Linked DNA regions of Xenopus tropicalis. The protein of the gene in region 1 purifies or fractionates together with the protein of each later gene. This does not show direct contact. Links are inferred from orthologs where the notes say so. Each region holds a gene or a part of one and is shown in the gene's direction. Other genes may lie near its edges.

Region 1 (3,251 bases):
ACCTTAAAGACTTGCTAAGGAACTTGCTCCAGGTAGATTTGACCAAACGATATGGGAACTTGAAGAATGGTGTTAATGACATCAAAAACCACAAATGGTTTGCTACAACAGACTGGATAGCAATTTATCAGAGAAAGGTAAGGAATTTTTGTTAGATAATAAATCTATATAAATAATAATAATAAATTATTCACACCAATGAGTGTAGCAGCTACTAATTGCCACATGTGTCTTTCCTTACACATACCTGCAAATATTACTTACTTTAGCATGGGGCCAAAAGACAAGCTGATTATAGAGAGCGCTCAGAACCTGGTAGCATTCTTTAGGATTTCCTATTCCCAGTCTCATTTTATCAGTGCCCCTGAATTAATTGGCCATTCAAATATTAATTGATGATTCATGGAATGTCACAAGAACAGTGTTTTGTATTTATCCATTTTCCCTTTTACAAATCAGGTGGAAGCTCCCTTCATACCAAAGTGCAGAGGGCCTGGAGATACCAGTAACTTTGATGACTATGAAGAAGAAGATATTCGTGTGTCTCTGACAGAAAAATGTGCAAAAGAGTTTGCCGACTTTTAGGATGTGCATGAGGACAAGATGACATCAGGGCTCATATTGGAATCTTTGCACTCTATTAGCAGATGGGGTGGAGCTGAGACCATCTTATGTCACAACAGTTACCTAGTTCCTTCATTCCGCAAGGCTGACTGAGGTCTATTTTGCCATCTTCCATGTGTGCATTTTGCACCAACCCTTTTATCTAGGCACAATTAACCAAGCGATTTGTGCTGTAACACAGAATGCTAGACCACTTTCCTTTTTTTGTCTTTTTTTTTTTTTTTCCTTTTTGTTTACATCTTGTATGTTTTGCCCTCCTCCTCACAGCTGTCTTTTTAAGTATATTTTACCCAACTACACCCCTTTTATTTTGAAAATGTATTATTATTTGTTGGGAGGGGCAGGGGGTACAAGAGAGAGATCTGGGAGTTGCTGCAATTAGGAAAATTTACAATGGAGGAAGTGTTGTTTCTAGTCTCTGCCACTCCATAGGTTTTTGTTTTACATTGTAAATCCTTATTTATGTATGATGGTAAATGTTTCATGTCACAGCTCAAATTGGAACTACTGGCCAATATTATTTTGAGAGGTTTTTATAAAGTAACCTTAACCATGGCCATAATCTCCTAATGGAAATAATTTCAAGAACAAAATTCTTCCTAGAGATTGACCAAAACTGGTTAGAAATCAATTTGAGTGCTACATTTGGCTAGATAGATCCTGTGCCTTGGTTTTCTATTCTTTAACTGTGCTGCCCCTTCCCGCGTGTTCCTTGCTTTGGCAGGACCTAAATGTTGCGTGACCATACTGTACGGCACATAGCACATTTTTTGGTTAAACTTGAGGATTTACAGCTGACGTCTTTCAATTACATAATGCTGACTTTAAAATGTCACACCATATGGGGGGGGGGGGGTTAAATAACATTAAACCTGCTCTTACAGCAGGTTTTGGTCAGTATTTTTTAAATGGAACATAATAAATAAATAAAAAGTGATAAAATCATGATGACTCCTTTACCAGCTCTGCAGTTAAAGCTATATTTTATTTCTGTTTAATAAACATATTGAGATCATAAAGGATGAAAAAAAAAGCTGTTCCTGTCTGAAAAACACATTCGATAAGGAAGCGCAGAGTCATTGCATTGCTAAGGTGATTCTCATTTTCTGTTTGTTCTAAAGAATAAAGGTTCTTGCCAAGTTTTATTCTGGTATACTATATTAGTAATCGGAGAATGAAGTACTGTTACCATGCCTCTGTACAACAACAGTTCTTTGTTCACATGAAAAGTTGATAATGTAAGCAAAAATTGTCACTGCTAGTGTTTTACTCCATGCTTTCTTTTCTTTTTGTTTCTCCTTATTGTATAGCATTGGCTTGAGTTATAATAACCAGCCTTCTACCAGTGAGACAGAATGTACATTCACACTTTCTATCTGGGCTTAGTTGCCTTTTTCTTTAATCACAAACTGACTCAAAACATGGCTGCCACGTGCTAGCTAACAGCACTTTTCCGTGTCAGTGTTTGTTACAAGTCTGTGGCTCTGAACATTTTTTTTTCTTTCAAACCTTCTCCACTATATTTGTACACATCTCTGTATCTATGTACCCTTGTCTTAAAAACAGCACATCTGAACAGTTTAAAATAAACTAGTTGCATTTTATTATCCACTTCCATGCATAAAAGACAATTGTTTTTATTCAAATGATCTGTATTGGTATATAGCCATTGTATTTGTTTAAACGTCAGTGGGAATAGATCGCTGGCACTACTTCCTTTTAATCTGTATGACACTCCTGTAAGAAAAGCCTTTGTAGACATTTTTCAACAGAGTTTAAGATGTACTATCCAACATTCTTGTATGTCTTTAGGTTGTCAAGCATTTTTGCACAACAGCGTGATTAGGAGACTGACGAAGATTGCAGTCTTTATCCATCCTTATTTCCTTGTGCAAGAAAGGTATAAGATACTTTGCTGTAGCAAATTTTATGTAACAAAAAATATATATAAATATATATATACATCACAATAAATTTAAAAGGATTCTTTGTATGAAAATGTTAAAATCTTTTGTATTTCATTTAGACTGAGGATATGCTGTGTATGCTAGCTGTATGCAATCAATTCTATAGTAACTTTGTTGTCGTTTATGAACTTAAAAAGATTTTAATAAATGCTGGAGATCACACTTTGTCATGATTTTAGTTCTCAGTGCCACAGAATGTGGTGTCCCACAATAAAACATTAGCAGTGCTTTCATGTTCTACCTAACAGCTCTATATAGAAGGTATGTATTGAGCTTTCTGTATTCACATATACTGCATGTGGCCTTATTACTATAGTGGAGCGCTTTGTGTAAAAATTTAGACAGTAGATAATCAGTACAGTACGGACAGTAGAAAATCTGCACAGATTCTCTTCATTCACCTTATGTGTATATGGCTTTCAATTTCTGGTATTTAGCGGGTGCCTATCAGCACTGTAGCAGGGAAAACCCTTGCATTATTCAGTTCTTTGTTCATGTTGCAGAGTAATAAAAGTTGATTAAGCATGTTTATGCCCCACAGGCTGCTGTGCCACCAGTTTGCACTGTTAATTTAATATACTTCCATTTAGTCAAACATGGATGAAGAAATATGTGCAACCAACAGAGGCAGCAATACAGCTGCTTTCACACCATGCATAG
Region 2 (3,500 bases), about 40 Mb from region 1:
CGCCCCCGTGCAGACACACCCCTTAGTCCAGTTTGTCAATGTGCCATAGAATTGGCCCTTGTGTGGCTGCCGTAAGCCATCAAAATTCACAGACGATACCTTTGCTTTGTGGGGCTCCTCTTGCTGCATTTGAAAAGGTTATACCAGAGTCTTTTGTTTTAAATCCAAGAAATAATTTAATTTAGGATTTGCAATATACTGATAAGGTAGTTCTAGTTGTCTGATGTATACCACAAATCAAGTTTTCTCACATCAGGGGGTACAGGGAACGAATGGGGATTATGCTTCACCGTCCAGGAGGCAGGAAAGTTTTACACATAAATATGTACACAATAAATTTTATGCCAAAGTATGTTACATTGAAAGTGTATATTTTACCTCATTGCAACTTCTGGGGGACACAGGATCAACAAAAAATAAAGCTCTCCTATTGGCACGAACAGGGCACTGGATCATGACTAAAACACACTGCTCTCTACCTTTCTGCTGTACCCATTATCATCAGCAACCAGTTTCTAGACTTTTAATGTCTAATATAATTCATTTACATGTATTATTGTTTTCAGCAGTTAGCGAAAGCCAAGCCACTTTCTGATCATCCAATCTCAGTATGTGTGACTTCTTTGTCTGCAGATCTGAAAGATCCAGGTGAGTTGGAGGGAAATAACATCCTTAAATCTCCCACTGAATTGAAAGTACTGATTTGCACCCCCTTATGTACCATTAAATAGCATTAAATAGGTGCAAGTCCATAAATCCATTGCAGTAATTAGATATGCATAATGGGCAAGCAAATCATGGAAGATTAACCATTCGTAACCATACTGCATTAGAATGAGTAACCATTATGTTTTTTTGTAGTGGCAATGCATTTGTTTATTTGGGACACAGTTTCTTATTTTACAATAGAAGTAGATATTTTCTCAGAAGGCCTATCAGTTAAGCATTACCTGAAAGACATGGTGCATTTAATGATTGCTGACTTTTCTTTAGCAGTTGCACAGAGTAACCAAACTGAAGCATTGGAGAGTGAACTTGCCAAAGCCAAAGATGATCTGCAGCTTGTTCTGAGAAAGGAAAGAGAAAATCAGGTATATATATATATATATATATATATGTATAAAATGTTTACATTGTTTTATTGCTAGCTAAAATATAATTCTCCATGAATAAAGCCTCTATAGTCTTTCCTTTAGGAAAATTACTTATAGAACCCTAAACTGAAAATGTATCCCTTTTGTCAAATAATCAGCCCCTGAGCAGACATGAAATATACCATGTACCCTATTGAGGGATCCTAGGCTGCAAGTGAGACTTTTCAATGCTACCCTCTTATCCACTATTGTCATTTAGTCTCCATAATTTTTGCTATTTTCTTGAAGCCAGAGATGTAAATTCATCTGTTTTTGTTAACAGATTGAAGTGTCAGCTCTGCAGTCTGTTATCAGAGAGCAAAGTGAGCAGCTGCAGGAGCAAGCAGCAGACATGGATGCTTTGAACAGGAGTATTCAGATAAAAGAGGATCTAATCAAGGTGAACTGTGCATGAGAAACAAGAAATGACAAGTGTTGCCTTACCTTTTGTAGCCTTTCATTTGACCCAGTACTAGCTTTTAACTAGAGATGCTAGGGAAATGTGCGTCTCTGTTTTGATCCCAATAACCACTCACAAGCAGGCATGCCTTACTATTGTTGTCTTTGCTTTTATGAACTGTGTTTGTCGTCAATTTTATATGAACATTAGAGAGCTAATTCACTTTATCTGATGATGCTTTCTTAACAAGGAGGTTAATTGTAAGGACACGGACATCAGCTGTTGGCAGTTGTAATATAGATAGTAAGGTTTTCCTGCATTGTGAGGTAGAATAAGTTTAATCCTCTTTCTGTACCTATATATTACTATAGTTCCCATTCTCTTTGGCATGGTTGAATATTACAAATGCCTGATCCACTTGTCTTGGGTGTTTAGGATCTGCAGATGCAATTGGTAGATCCAGAGGAGGTACCTACAGTGGAGCATCTTACCCAAGAAGTCCTAAGCTTGAAGGAGAAATTGGCTATATCAGGTGTGCCAGAACCAGAGCATGGAATAGATCATTACCAGAAGGTATCTTAGTCTTCTTGCTTTTTAGCAACCACTTGCAAGCCACACTGAGACACAGCAATTAGGGCTTTTGCCAGTATGTCAATAATAATTTCACAGAGGCTAATCTTAGAATTGCAGTGCACCCTGTTCCCCATCAGCTAAAAGTTGTTCCATGCTGCAAGCTTAAAAGTGTTTTTAATCAACATTGCAGGACGCAGTAGTAATAATGTAAAGCTGTTGTGCTATTTCAGACTTTCTAAAAGCAGTGTAACGGATTTCATAAATATGGGAATTGTACAGCATTCATCCGTGAATGTATTAGCCAGCTTTCTTACATTAACATTATTTGTAGAGCTGTGTGTTCCAGGTTTCAAATAAGCCATGCGTTATACAATGCCCTTTTGTTCTGTTGCCTATTGTAGTTATCAAAGCTATTGGAGGAGCTTGTTGCTGACAGAAGCAGGCTGAATGATGCATTACATGCAGAGAAACAGCTTTACAGCAGCCTGGTGCAGTTTCACTCTGACCCAGACAGGTGAGCAGAGTTCCTTCTGATGCATAATTCATTGTGTGTCTTGTATAATGTGCAGCAGGATGCGCTGACTATTCATTCCATTTGGTTGGGTTATGTATATTATATGTATATGTATACTATATATTTACTAATGCCTTTGCATATTCATAGCAAGCATATTTTTATTTCCAAGCACTAAAACTTGGTGCTGACATTGTTTCATGTGACATTGTTTTATGGTTTCAGACATTTTTAAAAAATTAAACAAAACCTATATATGCTGTTTGTATACACAGGAGACAAACAGTAGCCCTTACATGTCATTTTCCTTGCATCCACCAATGAATCAATCTATTAAAGTAACTTCTAGATTATCGGCAACTGCACGTGTGCAATGGTAGTCCCATGGCCACTATTTCTAGTTGCATAAGGGGTCATTTTCATTCTGCGTCCTTTTATTCATAGGCTTCAAGCTGTCTGTACAAGTGTGAAGAGCACTCCTTATCTGAAATACTTAATAAACATGACACGAGCGTGTTCTTTGATAAAAATATTGGTTTCCAAATCTGCTAGACAGCTGGAAAAAGCCATTCTGTATTTAATGAAAGAATAAGGAACATCCATTACTGTATGTTGAGTGTGTGCTGTAGATTTTTATATTAACAACAAATTGCCTTTATCTGCACAAATCTATTTAGCATAAAACGCACATCAGCACTTCAGGAAGAACTTCTAACTGCACAGACATTGACGTGCCAATTGGAAGACACCCTAGAAATGGCAACAGAGCGCCTTCGGCAGCTGGATTCAGAGCGGGGGCTGACGGCCATCACCTTTGGAGGTGGGGAGTGGGGGAGTTTGAGCGTTCCTCACATGCACACGCATGCCTTCTAATCTGAAC
Region 3 (3,500 bases), on another chromosome or scaffold:
CGTGGAATTCCAATAAAATTGATTCATGTTTGTGGCTGTAATGTGACAAAATGTGGAAAAGTTCAAGGGGGCCGAATACTTTTGCAAGCCACTGTATATACAGTGAGATGCAGTGGGTACTGAGACTAGGCATTTCAGCATGCCCTCACTCATAGGTTTGTTTCACAACCATGCAGTCTCATGAGGGTTCCACCTGAACAAACTAAAAATGAACAAAACAATAAAAAAGTAAGTGCAAATGCAAAAACAAAAAGTGTTAATTGAGGTCTGATAGGGATATGACTGATGCTAGGTGATAAATAAACAGTTTAATTCCAGCTAGTTAGTCGCCATTTAGGCTCATGGCCCAGGGGGAGATTAGTCGACCGCAGTTAATCTTGGCTACCACAGAAAACTAATCTCCCCCAAAAGGCTTTTTTTTTTTTACTGGCAATAAAGTGAATTGCTGGTGGAAAGGCATATGTTTTGCTTCATTTTCTGAAGTTGCCTGGGGGAGGAAACTTCATGTGACTTTCTGCAAATACTTCATATCAGTCTTTTCTTCTGCTGCCTTTGTTTGATATCTACCCAGCTCTGCCTACTTCACTGTCTATGTTAAGAGCTATGGAGAAGCTACAAGAAGAAAGAGCCAATCAAAGCGCAATATGACTATGAAGATTTTTATTCATCCAGGTCATGGTATATCTAGTATAAATAAATCTAAAGCAACTGGACTTGTTAAGTAATCATTGAAGACGTTTCACTACTCATCCGAGCAGCTTCTTCAGTTCAACTGACTGGTATGGGAAGTCCTCAGCATATATACTCTTCCACTAATCCAATCACAATTGCACTTTGTAACTCTTCAGAAAGGTGACATCTGAAACTCACAGAGGTGTGAATGCTGTGGAGTTACTTTGTATCATGCCACTCTTCAAGTGTTACTTGTTAGAGTTGCATGAATGGATGTGTGAAGAGTTTTGCTGTATTTCTACACCTAAAAGACAAGGGACACTCCTTTGAAAATAGCAACATCCAAATTTTGTACAAAGAAGACCGCTGGTTTGAAAGAGGCCATTCATGTCAACGTGGAGAAACCATCCCTAAACAGAGGCGGGGGACTTCAACACCATCTGTCTGCTACATACAATGCTGTTCTAACATCTGTACCCTGGCAGTTTCAGAACTCTTCACACATGTGAGTTTCAGATGTCACCTTTCTGGAGAGTTACAAAGTGCCATTGTGATTGGATTAGTGGAAGAGTACATATGCTGAGGACTTCCCATACCAGTCAGTTGAACTGAAGAAGCTGCTCGGATGAGTAGTGAAACATCTTCAGTGATTACTTAACAAGTACAGTTGCTTTAGATTTATTCATACTAGATAATCAAAGCGCAACTGATTACCAACTTGCAGAAATTGAAAGGAGTTTTTCCACACTGTTTAAATTATCAGCAACAGTCAGTAAGGAAGTTGTTTAGGGAGGTTTGGGAAGGCTTAGCAACCCCAAACCTTATTAAAAATTCACCCATGCCCATATGTAAAATCTAAATAAGCTATTTTCACTAAAATGTACCTTTTTAGCTGTATGTGCCATAACAGAATAGACTTAAAATATAAAAACAGCCAAACTTTTACAAAGAAAGAATCCAAGGCACTAGGAAAGTAACAACAAAGTAACAACCTGACTGTTATAGTTTAGCAATATTTTGCCTTTGCTGTTACCCACAATGGCATAATTTGGTAATAACCATTAAATTCAATTTTCAGGTCCTTTCAGGTAGACACCTTTGTGTTTTATATTTTTCAGTCACCAAATTGTCCATGCAAAGTATCTTGCCACAATAACATATCTGTAATTTGGGTTTCATTTTGAAGTTTCAAGCACATTGATATGTTTATAAAACTGGGACGATTTAGCAAGGGAAACCATCTGAAACCAGAAAAATATAATTGGAAATCAGTGGAAACTCTATATCTATTATACATTTTAATATAAAACAGTGTTTCATTTAGTTGTTTAATTAATAATGTGTTCTCTTCTGCAGGAACAGATGTCTCAGGTATTAGATGCAATGTTTGAAAAACTCGTAAAATGTGGAGAACACGTAATTGATCAGGGTGACGATGGAGACAACTTTTACGTAATTGACAGGTAAAAAATGATTTTGACTTAAAAATGTTTAAAGAGGAAAACCTCAACTATTCTGATACATTTTCAGTCTTATGTTTTGCCAGGGTTTAGAATCATATTGAGCTCTTTTAACAGGTGTCAGTGCATATATATATAAAAAAGAACTGTGTTTGGTATCTTATTGGTAGAGTTTATACCATATTCAGTACCAGTTTTGCCACTCAATATAGCATCTGCTATTGCTGGTTTCCAGAACTAATTTCTGTAATAGGTATTACATTTGGTAAAGCATAGACACAAGCCAGATGTCACATATACAGGTATGTCACAAATCTGATTATACATAAATTAAACTAAGTTGCCAGATGAGTGAAAACCATTTAGCTTTCTCTGTCCCAATAAAATAAATGTGTGAAATTGAAAATATCTGACCCACAATTAATATATCTTAGTATTTCTCTAGAATACCACACAATACACAAAATCCCTGTAATGTTTTACTACCATATATATATATATATATATATATATATATATAGCAAGAAAAGATAGAAGCCGCACTCACAGGACTTAGTATTGTGAGTGCGGCTTCTATCTTTTCTTGCTACATAACTTGTTGAAGGACTGCACCCAGGCACAATTAGATTTTTTGTTACGTGAGTGCCTGCTGTGTTTTGGTTTTCTATATATATATATATATATATATATATATATATACAGCAGCGAAGAGATCCGCACTCACAGGACTTATAGAATTAATCTGGTGTTTATTGAGAAGACTAACGTTTCGGCTACCTCAGTAGCCTTTTTCAAAGTGACTCACACAGCTAAACCAGTGTCTAATTAACATGTTAATTATAACACAGACTGAATACCTTAAACCCATATGGACTTAATGAACTGGTCTCATACTCCCCTTTTTATTTGCCCTAACCTTTCACCTCTATTCATAGTAGTGGAAATTTCCTGTGCTTGAAGGGGATGTAGTTCGTGGCTGCAGTGTCTTCACTTGTCTATACTCCACCTATGCCTTTAGCTTTATTGACAGTATTTCGCTTCCCTTAGTTTGTTTAGTTGCGTGTTCATCTGTCTTCTGGCAGGTCAGTTACTTATAGTACCTTGACATTATAATTCCTTGTGATATTCGTGTAATAGGCTACCTTGTTATATCTGGTTTCTTTTCACATGTTGCTACATTGATTAGATCCGTTACAAGTATCAATCATGTTTCTTTTCTTTTCCTGTCCATTTGTTACTTTGTTACTTGATACACATACTTATATCAGTCTCCTTACACCATGTATGTTTGGCTCTTTGATTCACCTATCCCCACCTCCAACAATACAGTGTCTTCAGCGCTGGTGGCACGTCGGTATAATTGGCTCC
Region 4 (3,500 bases), on another chromosome or scaffold:
ACTGCTGCAGATTAAAGGTGCTTTGCTCTGTTGTACAGGTATAGGGCCTGTTATCTAGAATGCTCAGGACTTGGGGTTTTCCAGATAAGGATCTTTACATAATTTGTATCTCCATACCTTATGAAGTCTGTGGGAGACAGCCTTCCTATAATTTGGATAAAAGATCCCATACCTGTATAATTAGCTTTTTTTAAAGACTAGTTCTTTTTATTGAACATCAGTCTGTCCAGTGTCAAGTCAGAGGCAGCTGGAAAATACCATCAAGCTTACCACGTTTTGTACAGTAACAGCTGGCAGTGTGCTTGATACAGTAGTACAGTGCTGTCCAACTGGCGGCCCGCGGGCCGCATGCGGCCCGCGACCCCCCTCTGTGTGGCCCCCCACCTGTCTGGCTGCTTTGATGGCTTACCTTTGAGTAAGCATTAAATGGTAACAGTACTGAGATTAACTGGCCCCCTGCATGGTTTTCACCTCAGATTCAGGCTGTAATCCCCCTGTATTGTTTAAAAATGTAATCCCCTGTGTTTTTCACACCTTTTAATACCTGCATGGTTCACCCCCTGCAGTGTTCACACCTCAGGCTCAGGCTGTAATCACTCCCATTGTTCACTTCTTCACACCTCAGACATAGGTACTGTAGGCAGAGTATGGCACATACAGCCAGCATAGGGCAGGTAGAGTATGGCACACACAGGCAGCATAGGTCAGGGAGGGTATGGCACACATAGGAAGGGTAGGGCAGGCAGAGTATGGCACACACAGTCAGGGTAGGGCAGACAGAGTATGGTACACAGAGGCAGCATAGAGAAGGCAGAGTATGGCACACATAGGCAGGGTAGGACAGGCAGAGTATGGCACACACAGACAGCGTAGGACAGGCAGAGTGCTGCCTGTGTGTGCCATACTCTGCTTGCTCTATGCTGCTTGTGGGAGGTGAACCTGGCAGGGGTTTGTTGTGGGAGTTTGTTAGCAGTTGGAAATAGCCATTAAATGGTCCCTAAGGTGTGTAATTATGTACTGGGGGTTGCTCTGCTATCCACAGGGGAGGAGGAGGCATATGGAATTTAAGGGTATATCTTAATATGACATAATTCTTTCACATATGAATGATGGTTGATATCCCCACAGTAAGGACCAAGCATTTGGGATTTTGCTGTGTTACCACCATTGTGATAAAATAGGTGTGGTTTGAAGTGGGTGTGGTTTCAAAAAGGGGAGTGGTCAAAACTGGCTTCCATTAGCGGCCCTCCACCATGTATGCTAGAGAAATTCCGGCCCTCGGCACCGTAGAAGTTGGACAGCACTGCAGTAGTACATTGGGTCCTGTGCCTATAATCATGTTCCCAGTGAAAATATCTGAATCATCTGTACCTATAGAAGAAGCTGGGAAAATACAAATTAATTTGTCAAGAAATATAAGAAAGGTCACTTTGACACACCCACCTCTGTTTTTATGTATTTATCCGATAGCACCTGTTGATCCAGTGCTCCTTTGTTTCCCTTATTGTGCATTTTTATAATGTTTGCAATAGGCCTTCTTTTTTTGTGGTTTTTCAGTTATTTAGCTTTTTGTTCAGCAGCTCTTCAGTTTGGTATTTCGGCAGCTATCTGGTTGCTAATGTCTTAATTACCCAAGAAACCAGCCAGTAATTTGAATGAGAGATGGAATATGAATAGTTAAAGGACTGAGTACAAAGATAAGCAGTAAAAGTAACAATAACGATAGAATTTTAGCCTCAGAGAACAATAGTTTTAAGTCTGCTGCTGTCAGTGACCCCCCTCTGAAAGCTAAAAAAAGGCAGAAAAGGAAGGTAAATAATTAAAAAAATAAAACTATAAAAATAAATGATGACCAATTGCAAAGTTGCTAGGAATAGGACATTCTATAATATACTAAGTGAATCGCCCCATTAAATATTAAAGTATTCCTTTGGATCTGTGTACATTGTGCCATAACTCACACGTTTAATTATACAAATAGATGCATCCACCAATGTACGAATGTACAATTTAAGAGGTATTTTTGGTTGATTTTTTTTTTTAAATTTTTTTAAAAAAAGCTTGAAAAACTGGAAACTAACCTAAAGGAAAAGACAGACAAATGCAATGAACTGCTGCTCTGCAAAGAACAGTTCCAGCGGGATATTCAAGAAAGGAATGAAGAGATTGAGAAGCTGGAGTGTCGGATCAGGGAACTGGAGCAGGCCTTGCTCATCAGTGATGATACCCTTAAGAAGGTGAGTTAATTTACTTGTGACCTTCTCCCTACCTTAATATGTGATAATGGCTAGATAGGTGCATACACACGCAAAATGAAAAAGGATCCTCCACACCCAATTATCTTGTTGTATCTTGTGTCTGTGGTGCTTGGATCCAATATTTGTTAAGTAAGCATTAGCTTTACAAATGGAGGCGCAAAACTTGCCATAAACTAACTGATATTATCGTATGAAACCTTGTTTAGTACGATATTCGGTGTGTGTGTATAGTGGATCGATGAGCCGACCTGTATTGCAAAGGCTGCAAATATCGGTCGTCTCGACGATCGGCTGAGTTAAAAAGGCGGCCGAGCAAAGTCTGCGTTTAGGGCTGAATCGGCAGGTGAAGGTAGAATCCCTACTTCTACCTCCATGTCTGACAATTTAGCCCTGAACTTTAACATGTACATGTATGGCCACCTTTAGGCACAGCACCAGTGAAGATTCATGTAACGGGTGTGTGTGTTTTTAGGAATAGAATAGGATTACCCCACCCCCTAAATGTTGTTACTCACTCTCTGTAGATAAATAAATAAATTCAGAAATGGACTGGCAATCTGTTGATTCTGGCAAATACCAGAATAGGTTACACAAACTATCTGTAATGCTTTTTGATGTGATTTTTGTGTGCTGATTTAGGGATGGACGAGGGATGAAAAGTTAAATACTAAATAAACAAGTCTAAGTAATATGTACATTTTCTTGAAGGTGGAGCTCAGAAGACAGTCCATCGTCATTAGTTCCAAAGGAGAAATACCTCTAGAAGCACAACTCCAAGTGGAGCGTGACGCAATAGATCGAAAAGAAAAAGAGGTGCGAATTCCCTTAATTAAAAAAGACATTGAGACCTTTTTATTAATAGTTTATCTTAATTGTCTACAATTTTTTTCCTACATGCAATTTGCATTAGGGAGCAAGGATTTGGAAAGTGAAAGTAGCGATGGTTGCTACCAACCAATAGAACAGGATGATAAATTAGCCACACAGGTTGACTGACTTTTCTATATGGCAGTACCTTCAAATTAAGTCTTTTCAAAAATGCTTTATGACCTATTGCTACAATAGATACTGAATCGAAACATTTGGAAATATTGATTGATCCTATGATTGCTAGAATGCAAATGTTGAGAAGGGCTTTTTTCACCTTTTGAGAGGTGTCAAAATTTCTCTGCTGCAGAAAAATGTACACAGGGTGCAGTGAAACAGTGCCAGATATTACAAACTTATTATGTGAGTGGTAGG
Region 5 (4,027 bases), about 59 Mb from region 1:
TCACTTGGGGGTGCCAAAATGTTAGGCACCCCCAAGTGACTTTAACCGTCTACCTTTTACCCCGGGCTGGTGCCCCTGTTCGGAGAGAACAGCACCAACCCGGGGTAGCTGCTTGTGCTTCCTCCTTTGCGATTCGCTGCGCGCGCAGTAGAGTGAAGAGCCAAACTTATATTGAAGTCGGCTTTTTCGCTCTACTGTGCATGCCCGGCCACCGGCAGTTTAGAAAGCGGTGCTGTTTTCTCCGAACAGGGGCACCAGCCCGGGGTACAAGGTAAGCGGTTAAAGTCACTTGGGGTGCCTAACATTTTGGCACCCCCAAGTGACTTTGCCTTTCCTTCTCCTTTAATATCTAATGGGAGCTGCTATCTTGCTAACTTCCGACTGTTCTGCTGATTCCGCTGCTGGGGGGGGGGGGGGTATCACTCGAACTTGAAGTTTATCAGAGCACAGGTCACATGGCTGTGGCACCCTGGGAAATAAAGAATATGGCTAGCCCCATGTGAAATTTCAAAATTAAATATTAAAAAATCTGTTTACGCTTTTGAAAAATGGATTTAAATGCTGGAGAAGCTCTAGTTATTATCATATTGTACCAACAAGACATTTACTTCCTATACTTCTCTATCATGAATACATCTATGACGCAAATATGTCCATTCTGGTACCTGAGGTATTTTTACTCTGCCTCTAGCCCCAACAGCCTATATCTGCCACAGGACAATAGGAGTTTTTCAGTCAATAACATTTGAAGGTCTCTTACTCAAAAATAGCAGCATTAATTCAGTTGCGGTACAACCTGGCCTACACTGAGCTTTTACTGATTATTAGCACCATATTAAAACAAGAGAGCTGCTGCAACACTGAGCGCTCTTATCTTCACCTTTTTACACAGAGCTCATTGGCTCCCAGCGCTCCTAAGCCAAGGCCAGGCAGTAGATGACGCAGAGAGGGGCGGACCCAACGTCACCGGCCGCTGTCACTTATTGGCATGAGTGGGTGGGGCTAAGCAAGTGACATGTAAGTTCTTTTCCTGAGGGATGACAGCTCTGCTCAACTTTTCGACGCATTTACGACAGCTTCAAGAATGGACCGTGGTGACATAGAAGCTCAGGTAACGTTGCAGGTTGACAAAGCAGCCGCGTTCCCCATGTAATATACTGGCGGAAGAGGACGAGGGATTGACGTCAGAAAATAGTCCCTCCCTCTTAGCCAGTGCTCTGCCCTGTTTTTCCCGCCTCCTGTTGCGCGTTCGCGTATCCGGCCTACTCGCTGCTCTTAGGGATCAGTGCGCGCTGCGCTCTCGCCGGTTTCTGGCTGTGTGAGGTGATTCCCTGAGCCGCGGCAACTCCTCAGCGTCCGCTGGTTTGTTGGGGGGAGGGAGGGGGGACTGTGCGAGCGGAGGAACCATCAGGAATATAGAGAGGGGGGGACAGCACCCTCTGGCCTGCTTGGTGGCTCAGCTTATCCAGTGTAAGGTGTGAATAGCAGCGAAACGGGGCTACCTCCCCCCCCAACCCGGGGACGATGAGCATCGAGATCCCGCCCGGCCTGACGGACTTACTGCAGGGTTATACGGTGGAAGTGCTGCGCCAGAAGCCGCCGGACCTGGTGGAGTTTGCGATACAGTATTTCACCCGGCTGAAGGAGAAGCAGCTCCAGGATGGCGCAGGGGCCGGCTCTTTACGGCCTCACGCCCGGGTGGTCAACTTCGACGGGGAACCCATGCAGACCGAGTCTAACGGGGACGAAGAGGAGGACGAGGAAGATGACGATGACTCCGATTTCGAACGTAAGAGGCCGCATGTGCTGTGGGCAGGGCTGGAGTTTGAGAAGACGGGGGGCCCCCGGCAATGCAGGAAGGCTGGGGGCCCCCCCCCGGCAATGCAGGAAGGCTGGGGCCCCCCCCGGCAATGCAGGAAGGCTGGGGGGCCCCCGGGCAATGCAGGAAGGCTGGGGGGCCCCCGGGCAATGCAGGAAGGCTGGGGGGCCCCCGGGCAATGCAGGAAGGCTGGGGGGCCCCCGGGCAATGCAGGAAGGCTGGGGGGCCCCCATTTGAGAGGGCAGACAAAATCACATTCATCAAAGAGCTATCCTGCCCCCCAGCTTTTGTTAATGTGCAGCTCCCTGCCTTGCTCTGCTGGGGCCGATGTGCAGCTCAACACACGGGGGCTGCAGCTTGGATAGGGTTCATGTGCTCATTTAAAGTGCCCCCCCCCCCAATACTGACAGTATGAGAAGTTATTTACACTTGTAACTGTGGGACAAATGTCTTTATCCTTAATAATAATATGTAGTTCTTGACTCTTGCAACAATGTAGCTGAAGTTCTGCCCTAGATCACTTCATTTACCTGCTACTTCTACATTGTGTCAGGTGTCAGAACCAGCAGTGCAGAGAATGGAAACAGCCAGTTTATTTACCTGCTACTTCTACATTGTGTCAGAACCAGCAGTGCAGAGAATGGAAACAGCCAGGCAGATACAGTCAGAACTCATTTACAAATAAACTTCCATAACCAACGTTAATGTATATTGGAAAGGTGCTTAGAATGACATTTCTTCCTTGATGCAAGGAACCGGTTTTGAGTGGCTCTTTCGGTTTTTTCTTCCGCATATTCCTGCCCCAAAGGTGCCCCTGTGATGCTGTAAAGTCAGATGCACTACCTGCATTGACAGAGGGCTGAGGAATTGACATCTCCTCATGTGGAGCAGGGCTTCCAATGTCTTTATTTTAGTACTTTTTGTTTCTTGCCAGTGATTTTTAAAATTACCAATTACAGAGAAACTGTAAATGATTTAAGGCGCATAAGTCATTTTTTGGTGTCTGGTCTCGCTTCATAGCCTTTAGATCTTTAAAGGGGAACTCCGGCTTCTGAACCAAAATTTGTTAAAGAGCCCCACACAATAGTCATTCCTAATATACCTGTCACTGTAATCTGTTCTTTTGAAATACAGTTTTTATATGCTGAAGTCCAGCTGCAAAACAGTTCTTCTCTTTCTGCATCATTTAAAATCCTAGCAGTGGAGGAGGGACTAAAACATTGATGTTACAAATTGTAACAACTTCTCCACAGCTTACAGACAGCATGCAGGAACTACATAACCCACAATGCATTGCACCGTGAAGTTTCTTATTGACATCACGTGTGCAGGGAATTGTGTGATTGGGAGGATGCAGGCAATTACTGTTACATTTTATTTGAGTCTCAAAGTAGTCGGCCAGATCAGGCGGGGCTTAGGGAACTGTTCCAAACCATATTATTACATTAAAAATCATGAAATGGATGCATATTTTAAAATTTGTGTATTGCAAAGTTGCTTGAAATTAGCTTTACTTTTCAAAAAGCTCAAGTTGTACTTGGGTGGAGTTCCCCTTTAATAAACTTCCCTTTCAATGATGTCCTAAAGCCCTGTAAAATAAGGGGTGATTGTATATTACTTAGAAATGGTGGCAAGTACCAAGCTCCTGTGGGCAGGACACACTGTGCACATTTCTTGTCTTTTGTTGAGTTTAAAATAAATTTCAAGCTTGCTGGGCATGTACATGTTTGAGGTCTCCCTTTAGGGCAGAGGACACTACATCAGTATAAGTAATGTACCTACTAGGCAGGCTTATAGTTGCATTGTGGGATATCTGCTAGTGATGCCTGCTGCTCATTCTGCAATAGGCATAACATTTTCTCTTACAGAAACATCACTGCTGGTTATGCTTGCTGCTCATTTTCCAATAATTGCACCCACTTTATATGGAACAGTCTTCTCTAATGTTTGTGAGGTTTCCTTCATAATTGCTTGGTTTATCTCTCTCTGTAAATAATCGATTTACAGATTGTGCTCTCTGAAACCTTGTAGATAGCGTCCCACACAGAGATTAGTCACCTGCGATAGATCTCTGCTACCGCGGGCAACTAATCTCTCCAAAATGCCTTTCCTGTGGTAACAAAGGGGATCACCACTGGAAAGGCATCACTTCCGTCTTCCAAAGTGGCGCGAAGCTTCCTCCTGCAGGCAACTTTGTGGGACTTTGGA
Region 6 (3,500 bases), on another chromosome or scaffold:
ATAAAGCAATACATTGATAGCACAATTGCTAATTTTGTTGCACTTTTTTTTTTTTTTTTTTTTTGCAGGTCCATTTACAGATGTGGTAACAACAAACCTAAAACTACGGAACCCATCAGATAAAAAAGTATGTTTTAAAGTCAAAACTACAGCACCTCGGCGTTATTGTGTGCGACCAAACAGTGGCACCATAGACCCTGGATCCACAGTCACAGTTTCAGGTTGGTGTACTTGACAATTAAAAATTGACATCTTTGCTTATTCGTATTCCTATATAGGACCCGTTATCCAGAATGTTCGGGACCAGGGGTATTCCAGATTTAGGGGTCTTTCCATAATTTAGATCTCCATACCTTGTCAACTAAGAAACCAATAAAACATTAATTAAACCCAATAGGATTGTTTTGCATCCAATAAGGATTATTTATATCTTAGTTGGGATCAATTACAAGGTACTGTTTTATTTCTACAGAGAAAAAGGAAATCGGTTTTAGAATTCTGAATTATTTTATTAAAATAGAGTCAATGGGAGATGGGCTTTCCGTAATTCTGAGCTTTCTGGATAATGGGTTTCCGGATAAGGGATCCCATACCTGTACTAACAACAAATGATGCAGAGACCACTTTTACGTGTATACAGTGGTGTGAAAAACTATTTGCCCCCTTTCTGATTTCTTATTCTTTTGCATGTTTGTCACACTTAAATGTTTCTGCTCATCAAAAACCGTTAACTATTAGTCAAAGATAACATAATTGAACACAAAATGCAGTTTTTAAATGAAGGTTCACGTTATTAAGGGAGAAAAAAAACTCCAAATCTACATGGCCCTATGTGAAAAAGTAATTGCCCCCTTGTTAAAAAATAACTTAACTGTGGTTTATCAATTTCAATTTTCAATTTCAATATCAATTTCTGTAGTCACCCCCAGGCCTGATTACTGCCACACCTGTTTCAATCAAGAAATCACTTAAATAGGAGCTACCTGACACAGAGAAGTAGCCCAAAAGCACCTCAAAAGCTAGACATCATGCCAAGATCCAAAGAAATTCAGGAACAAATGAGAACAAAAGTAATTGAGATCTATCAGTCTGGTAAAGGTTATAAAGCCATTTCTAAAGCTTTGGGACTCCAGCGAACCACAGTGAGAGCCATTATCCACAAATGGCAAAAACATGGAACAGTGGTAAACCTTCCCAGGAGTGGCCGGCCGACCAAAATTACCCCAAGAGCGCAGAGACAACTCATCCGAGAGGCCACAAAAGACCCCAGGACAACATCTAAAGAACTGCAGGCCTCTCTTGCCTCAATTAAGGTCAGTGTTCACGACTCCACCATAAGAAAGAGACTGGGCAAAAACGGCCTGCATGGCAGATTTCCAAGGCGCAAACCACTTTTAAGCAAAAAGAACATTATGGCTCGTCTCAATTTTGCTAAAAAACATCTCAATGATTGCCAAGACTTTTGGGAAAATACCTTGTGGACCGACGAGACAAAAGTTGAACTTTTTGGAAGGTGCGTGTCCTGTTACATCTGGCGTAAAAGTAACACAGCATTTCAGAAAAAGAACATCATACCAACAGTAAAATATGGTGGTGGTAGTGTGATGGTCTGGGGTTGTTTTGCTGCTTCAGGACCTGGAAGGCTTGCTGTGATAGATGGAACCATGAATTCTACTGTCTACCAAAAAATCCTGAAGGAGAATGTCCGGCCATCTGTTCGTCAACTCAAGCTGAAGCGATCTTGGGTGCTGCAGCAGGACAATGACCCAAAACACACCAGCAAATCCACCTCTGAATGGCTGAAGAAAAACAAAATGAAGACTTTGGAGTGGCCTAGTCAAAGTCCTGACCTGAATCCTATTGAGATGTTGTGGCATGACCTTAAAAAGGCGGTTCATGCTAGAAAACCCTCGAATAAAGCTGACTTACAACAATTCTGCAAAGATGAGTGGGCCAAAATTCCTCCAGAGCGCTGTAAAGGACTCGTTGCAAGTTATCGCAAATGCTTGATTGCAGTTATTGCTGCTAAGGGTGGCCCAACCAGTTATTAGGTTCAGGGGGCAATTACTTTTTCACACAGGGCCATGTAGGTTTGGATTATTTTTCTCCCTAAATAATAAAAACCCTCATTTAAAAACTGCATTTTGTGTTTACTTGTGTTATCTTTGACTAATAGTTAAATGTGTTTGATGATCAGAAACATTTTGTGTGACAAACATGCAAAAGAATAAGAAATCAGGAAGGGGGCAAATAGTTTTTCACACCACTGTATATCATTTTGCACATTTCCATTTTAAGATAGCTTCACCATAATATTAATGCGATGTGGATCGTTATTTTTTTTCTTTGTTTTTGGATTGTTTAGCTTTTTAGTTTACTTTCCTGTTAATGATAATGATGGCCCTATTTAATCCCTAGGAAGAAATGGTCATCAAGCTGGTTTAGGAATTTTGCCACATTGAAAATATTATTCAAACTTGAGAAATTAATTATGCTGTACAATTGTTGGTAGGCAGGTGGATGACCAACAAACAAATCCTGAGACCGCACAAATTAGAAAAAAAACTTAGGCAAAGATGGAGTTTTTTGGCTGCATTTTTAGTATTAAGATTTTGAATTTAGGGGCCAGACGATTGAATTAGAACGGTGGGTATAGGAGCAGTAGGTTTGGTGAATCAACAAGCCAATGCGGTCCCCAATTCGACTGAAAAATCAAACCTGTCCGGTTGAGATCTGGCTGATTTCAAGCTATATGTTGGTCTAGCGAGCCCATCTGTTCCCATACACGGGCGCAAAAGCTGCCATGTCGGTTTAAAGGACCGCTAGAATTGGCCAGTGTATGGCCACCTTAACTTGCAGCGCAGCAGTGACTGAAGTTAGAGCACAGGTCACATGGCTGTAGCACCCTGGGAAATGAAGAATTTGGCTATACCCATGTGAATTTTTCAAAATAAAATTTTAAAAAACCTGTTTGCATTTTTGAAAAATGAATTTCAATGCATGGTTCTGCTGGAGAAGCTCTATTAACTGATGCGTTTTGAAGTAAAACATGTTTTTCCATGACAGTATTGCTTTAAGGGTTCTTTAGACCCACTTGCGTACCAGAATGCAGAAGTTGACAGTCTAACATCCCATCACACCCAGATCACATTTACAAAGATGTGTGTTGATTTATCATTCTTAAAGGAAAAGTAACACTAAAAAAGCTATTCTACCCTGCACCAATAACTGTCCTATCCTGCAAACCACTTAGTATTTTAAATGCTTTAATAGAAAATACCTGGTAAAACTTGGCTTCCTGTCAATTGAAGTACGGCGAAGGAAGGAGCTGCATCCACTATGTGACGATCGATTGATCAAGCCTAGCCTGACTCCTTCCTATACAGAAAGAAGGCTAGGCTCGATCAATCGATCGTCACATAGTTGATTCAGCTGCTTCCTTCGCCGTATCGCCGTACTTCAATTGACAGGAAGCCAAGTTTTACCAGGTATTTTCTATT
Region 7 (3,500 bases), on another chromosome or scaffold:
AGCATGAAAAAGCTTAGTAAGAAACTTAAAGGGCAACTGGCAAAAGAGTTTTATCCAGCTACTCCACCATCTACACCCCATTTAATCGCCTCTGAACATGACAGCATAAAGAAAGATGATTTTCTTCTAAAAGTAATGCGGTCACTATCAGAAGAAGTTGAAACTTCTAGTGGTGATGGCAGTTCTGAAGATGAAGATATTGAGGTTTCTGAAGAAACATCTCAGTATGCTGACTATTTGTCAACTAACATCTTATCTGTAGCCACTGAAATGGCTGCAGATGCTTTAGATGATAAATCCGTCCGTAGATCTTCTGCAAAAAATAAGCCACTTTTACATGTCTTGAGTGATAAATGGGGATACCCTGCATACATGAGAAATATTTCTGAGGAAACCTTGGAGACACTTAGCAAATATGCAGGTGTTATTGCTGGAGAAGTCCTTCATGATGCAAAGAAAGTTGTGGGCAAGAAACAGAGTACAAAGGTGAAATCAGTTTGTGATTCTGATTGCAGTCATTGTAGGAAACACTCTAGAGACTGCAGGCCAAAAGAAAAAGAGTGTATTTGCACAAGTATGAATTTTAAAGAATCTGATCCTTCTACTCTTTCTCTCCCTTATAACAATATTGCTGCCGGTCTGACCTCGAAATACCCAAGCTGCGAAAGTGTGACTGAGGAGTATGCCGATCATATTATACGTGTTCTAAAAATGGAAGGAGGGAACAACGAGTTAATCATTGATCAGTATGCCAGCAGATTAGTTTATAGAGCTGTAAAGTCTGGCTTACAACAAGCTTCTAAAACAATTAAACTGAAATGCAATAAGAAGCCAGCACCCAGAAGGAACTCAGAAGCTAACAGCATGCAGGAAATTCTCAGGCTTTTAAGCATGACACAGCACCAAGAGCGGGAAAAGCAAAGAAGGAGGAGCATTTCAAACCATTCCTTTGGTGAGGAATCTTCTGGACACGGGAAAGATTCCCGTAGACCAGAGTTCACAGGCCTGCTACGTTTTGCTGAAACTCTTGCTAATACAATAACTTGTGATGTAAGGACAAAGCTAAAAATATCAGCCGTTTCTCTTCCTAAATCACTGACTGATTCATGTCTGTATACAAAATCAAAAATTGATGAGACAACTAGTGACCTTGTCAAAAGAAATGTTTCCAAGAGTCTTCTTCCATATTCACAGACAAATAAACTGTATCATAGCACTGGCAGCCTAAATGATGAAGGTCTTAAAGAAGGTGTCATTCAAGCTATTGAGCAATATGCATGTAAAGTCGTTGATAGTACCATAGGATTTACCTTGGAAACGGCAAGACTTCAAGCTTTAGAAAACAGGAAAAACAACGATAAAGTGTCACATAATGGGAAGCTGATGCATTCATATGGACCTGTTTGTAGGGTTTGCAGTGCAAAGGAACAAGGACACACTCAGTCGTCTTGTCATTTTCTCTTGGGACCTGATGTCTCTAGAAGAATGAAACAATGTTCAAGGTCTAAACATAACACTGGTCAAAAATCAAGACTTTTTCATCATAATATACCTAAAATTCATATTGATTTCGATAAGAGGGCAATGTTTGCAGAAAAAATTGTTAGTGCTGCTATAGGAAAAGCAGAGCGGGAGCTGAGTAACACAAGTTTGGCTGCCGATAGTGGTATTGGGCCAGAAGGGATCAGCTTTGCAGATAGTCTCACCACAGAAATAATGATGTGTGCTATGAAGAACATTGGACATGTTAACCAAAGGTAAGAAAGATCTCAAGACCTACTGTGTTTCTTTTATATTGCTTATTTTTGCTGTCTTTTCTTTCAAAACCTCTGTAAAATTATAGGTGACAAATTAGAAGTAGGTGCTACTGTAAGTACATTTATAAGAGAAAGAAGTAACAGTGACGACTGTAGCATTGACCTTTAAGTCTAAACATCAAAACAATGGACTTTAGTTAAGTAAAGAAAGCTTTGTTTAGAAGCATACACAGCACACACAAGGAGTGTAAAATAAGTCAGGCTGCACTCTGCACCTATCTGGATAAAAAAAAAAAAACAGCACGAGTTGCCTAGCTTTGCTTCAGGGGGTACAGGGCAGTATTGTCCTAATTGTCTTTCCTTTGGAAGACAGTACAAGTCTCCTTTGTGGGCTGTGCCTTCTGGCACTCCCTAACTTGTGCATCTGAATGATGTGCAAGGGGCAGTTGGAAGGGGGATATCTACCTGCCTTCCCTGACCCTCATGAATACAGCACTACCAATAGCAGGCATTTATGTATTTGTGGGGTGAACACAGGTCTATAAACTGTATAAACTCCAAAATGGAAATTAAAGATATTCTGTACTGTGCTGCTTTTGCCCAGGGTGGTGCATATGATGCCTGGGAAAGTGGAAAAAACATGGAGGCACAATACTCGAGAGGCACAGACACGTGGGGTTGCCTAACAAATTAGCTCATGGTGTTTGTTGCACATCATTTTCGTTGTTAGTGGAAAGAGGTTATTTTTTATGTCCAAATTTCATGTCTAATTGCATTCAGTGTGTTTGTATATAAGATTTTATCATCAGGGAGTGGCCTGGGGGGTGTTGGCTTGATAAGATGGGGCAGAGGAAAAAGTTTGAAGAAAGACAAAATGGTGGCCTGATTATGGTGGCATTATGGAGCAAGCTATAATTAAATGACCAGCAATGCTATAAAAATCATTTTTTTTAGGCAGCATAATATAGCATTTGGGAAATAGGGGCGGGGTCTTTACTTGTCCATTAACCTATTTCACTACACAAAAGTGACTTTAATTCTTTCAGTATGTAAGTAAACTAAATCAATTTACTAGGAGTTTTAAATCTGCTATTTTGTGTTTATTTATCATTACAAATTGAGTTTAGTTCTGATGGCAAAGATGGATTCCAGTCAGCAGAATCTGTTACTAGCCAGCAGACAAGTGTCAGTGTTGGGGATGACAGTACCGGCAGCTGGTCCAATCTGAGTTTTGAAGATGAACATCAAGATGAAAGCAGCAGTTTCCTTCACCTCAGTGACAGGTAATGTAATGTCATATTGCATGTATTATACAAAGGACTTACTTAAAAAACAGATCCTAAGATATCTTACTAGTTTAGACATTACAGCTTTAGTGAGAAAGGAGGATTCAAAGGACACCATTTTTTCCCACTATTCTCCTTTTTTGCCAATGATAGAGGCACCTAATATCCCATCGGTTGTATTTGGAACCCTAGCTAACCCTGATGTTATAATTCTATTCAGAGTGTGATTGACAACTACAGATGGAGCATCTGTAACCAATTATAGAATAGAAATCTGCTCTAAGCCACTTTAATTAAACCAAATTCAGAACAACAAGTCTATACAAGCTTTGCTCACCGCTTCATATAATGGGTCTGGGTGCCTTGCCTCAGACCCTTGGCTCATGGGGGATTTCACTCAGTTTCAGTTTAAGAACCACTTTAACCAAGGATTTTTTATAGCCACTCACCACACTGA

The links.
Region 2: the proteins of prkacb (region 1) and pde4dip purify together in Homo sapiens (affinity purification with mass spectrometry; 5 studies listed by BioGRID and IntAct, counting the BioPlex papers as one, with this or other methods). This does not show direct contact. The link is inferred for Xenopus tropicalis from reciprocal best matches to the Homo sapiens genes PRKACB and PDE4DIP.
Region 3: the proteins of prkacb (region 1) and prkar2b purify together in Homo sapiens (affinity purification with mass spectrometry; 7 studies listed by BioGRID and IntAct, counting the BioPlex papers as one, with this or other methods). This does not show direct contact. The link is inferred for Xenopus tropicalis from reciprocal best matches to the Homo sapiens genes PRKACB and PRKAR2B.
Region 4: the proteins of prkacb (region 1) and akap9 purify together in Homo sapiens (affinity purification with mass spectrometry; 5 studies listed by BioGRID and IntAct, counting the BioPlex papers as one, with this or other methods). This does not show direct contact. The link is inferred for Xenopus tropicalis from reciprocal best matches to the Homo sapiens genes PRKACB and AKAP9.
Region 5: the proteins of prkacb (region 1) and prkar2a purify together in Homo sapiens (affinity purification with mass spectrometry; 6 studies listed by BioGRID and IntAct, counting the BioPlex papers as one, with this or other methods). This does not show direct contact. The link is inferred for Xenopus tropicalis from reciprocal best matches to the Homo sapiens genes PRKACB and PRKAR2A.
Region 6: the proteins of prkacb (region 1) and vapa purify together in Homo sapiens (affinity purification with mass spectrometry; 4 studies listed by BioGRID and IntAct, counting the BioPlex papers as one, with this or other methods). This does not show direct contact. The link is inferred for Xenopus tropicalis from reciprocal best matches to the Homo sapiens genes PRKACB and VAPA.
Region 7: the proteins of prkacb (region 1) and akap11 purify together in Homo sapiens (affinity purification with mass spectrometry; 5 studies listed by BioGRID and IntAct, counting the BioPlex papers as one, with this or other methods). This does not show direct contact. The link is inferred for Xenopus tropicalis from reciprocal best matches to the Homo sapiens genes PRKACB and AKAP11.

What each region holds. Positions count from the first base shown.
Region 1 is NC_030680.2:77,758,749-77,761,999, reverse strand, and holds the end of prkacb (cAMP-dependent protein kinase catalytic subunit beta), read left to right. Parts: coding exon 1-137; intron 138-459; coding exon 460-585; 3' UTR 586-2,751; downstream 2,752-3,251. UniProt on the Homo sapiens protein: Mediates cAMP-dependent signaling triggered by receptor binding to GPCRs.
Region 2 is NC_030680.2:118,175,242-118,178,741, forward strand, and holds part of pde4dip (myomegalin), read left to right. Parts: intron 1-566; coding exon 567-648; intron 649-993; coding exon 994-1,091; intron 1,092-1,416; coding exon 1,417-1,533; intron 1,534-1,968; coding exon 1,969-2,106; intron 2,107-2,507; coding exon 2,508-2,620; intron 2,621-3,297; coding exon 3,298-3,440; intron 3,441-3,500. UniProt on the Homo sapiens protein: Functions as an anchor sequestering components of the cAMP-dependent pathway to Golgi and/or centrosomes.
Region 3 is NC_030679.2:76,663,705-76,667,204, reverse strand, and holds part of prkar2b (cAMP-dependent protein kinase type II-beta regulatory subunit), read left to right. Parts: intron 1-2,028; coding exon 2,029-2,135; intron 2,136-3,500. UniProt on the Homo sapiens protein: Regulatory subunit of the cAMP-dependent protein kinases involved in cAMP signaling in cells. Type II regulatory chains mediate membrane association by binding to anchoring proteins, including the MAP2 kinase.
Region 4 is NC_030682.2:31,557,614-31,561,113, forward strand, and holds part of akap9 (A-kinase anchor protein 9), read left to right. Parts: intron 1-2,060; coding exon 2,061-2,237; intron 2,238-2,966; coding exon 2,967-3,071; intron 3,072-3,500. UniProt on the Homo sapiens protein: Scaffolding protein that assembles several protein kinases and phosphatases on the centrosome and Golgi apparatus. Required to maintain the integrity of the Golgi apparatus. Required for microtubule nucleation at the cis-side of the Golgi apparatus.
Region 5 is NC_030680.2:136,484,714-136,488,740, reverse strand, and holds the start of prkar2a (cAMP-dependent protein kinase type II-alpha regulatory subunit), read left to right. Parts: upstream 1-1,227; 5' UTR 1,228-1,524; coding exon 1,525-1,789; intron 1,790-4,027. UniProt on the Homo sapiens protein: Regulatory subunit of the cAMP-dependent protein kinases involved in cAMP signaling in cells. Type II regulatory chains mediate membrane association by binding to anchoring proteins, including the MAP2 kinase.
Region 6 is NC_030682.2:104,685,147-104,688,646, forward strand, and holds part of vapa (vesicle-associated membrane protein-associated protein A), read left to right. Parts: intron 1-68; coding exon 69-221; intron 222-3,500. UniProt on the Homo sapiens protein: Endoplasmic reticulum (ER)-anchored protein that mediates the formation of contact sites between the ER and endosomes via interaction with FFAT motif-containing proteins such as STARD3 or WDR44.
Region 7 is NC_030678.2:132,806,060-132,809,559, forward strand, and holds part of akap11 (A-kinase anchor protein 11), read left to right. Parts: coding exon 1-1,757; intron 1,758-2,884; coding exon 2,885-3,040; intron 3,041-3,500. UniProt on the Homo sapiens protein: Binds to type II regulatory subunits of protein kinase A and anchors/targets them.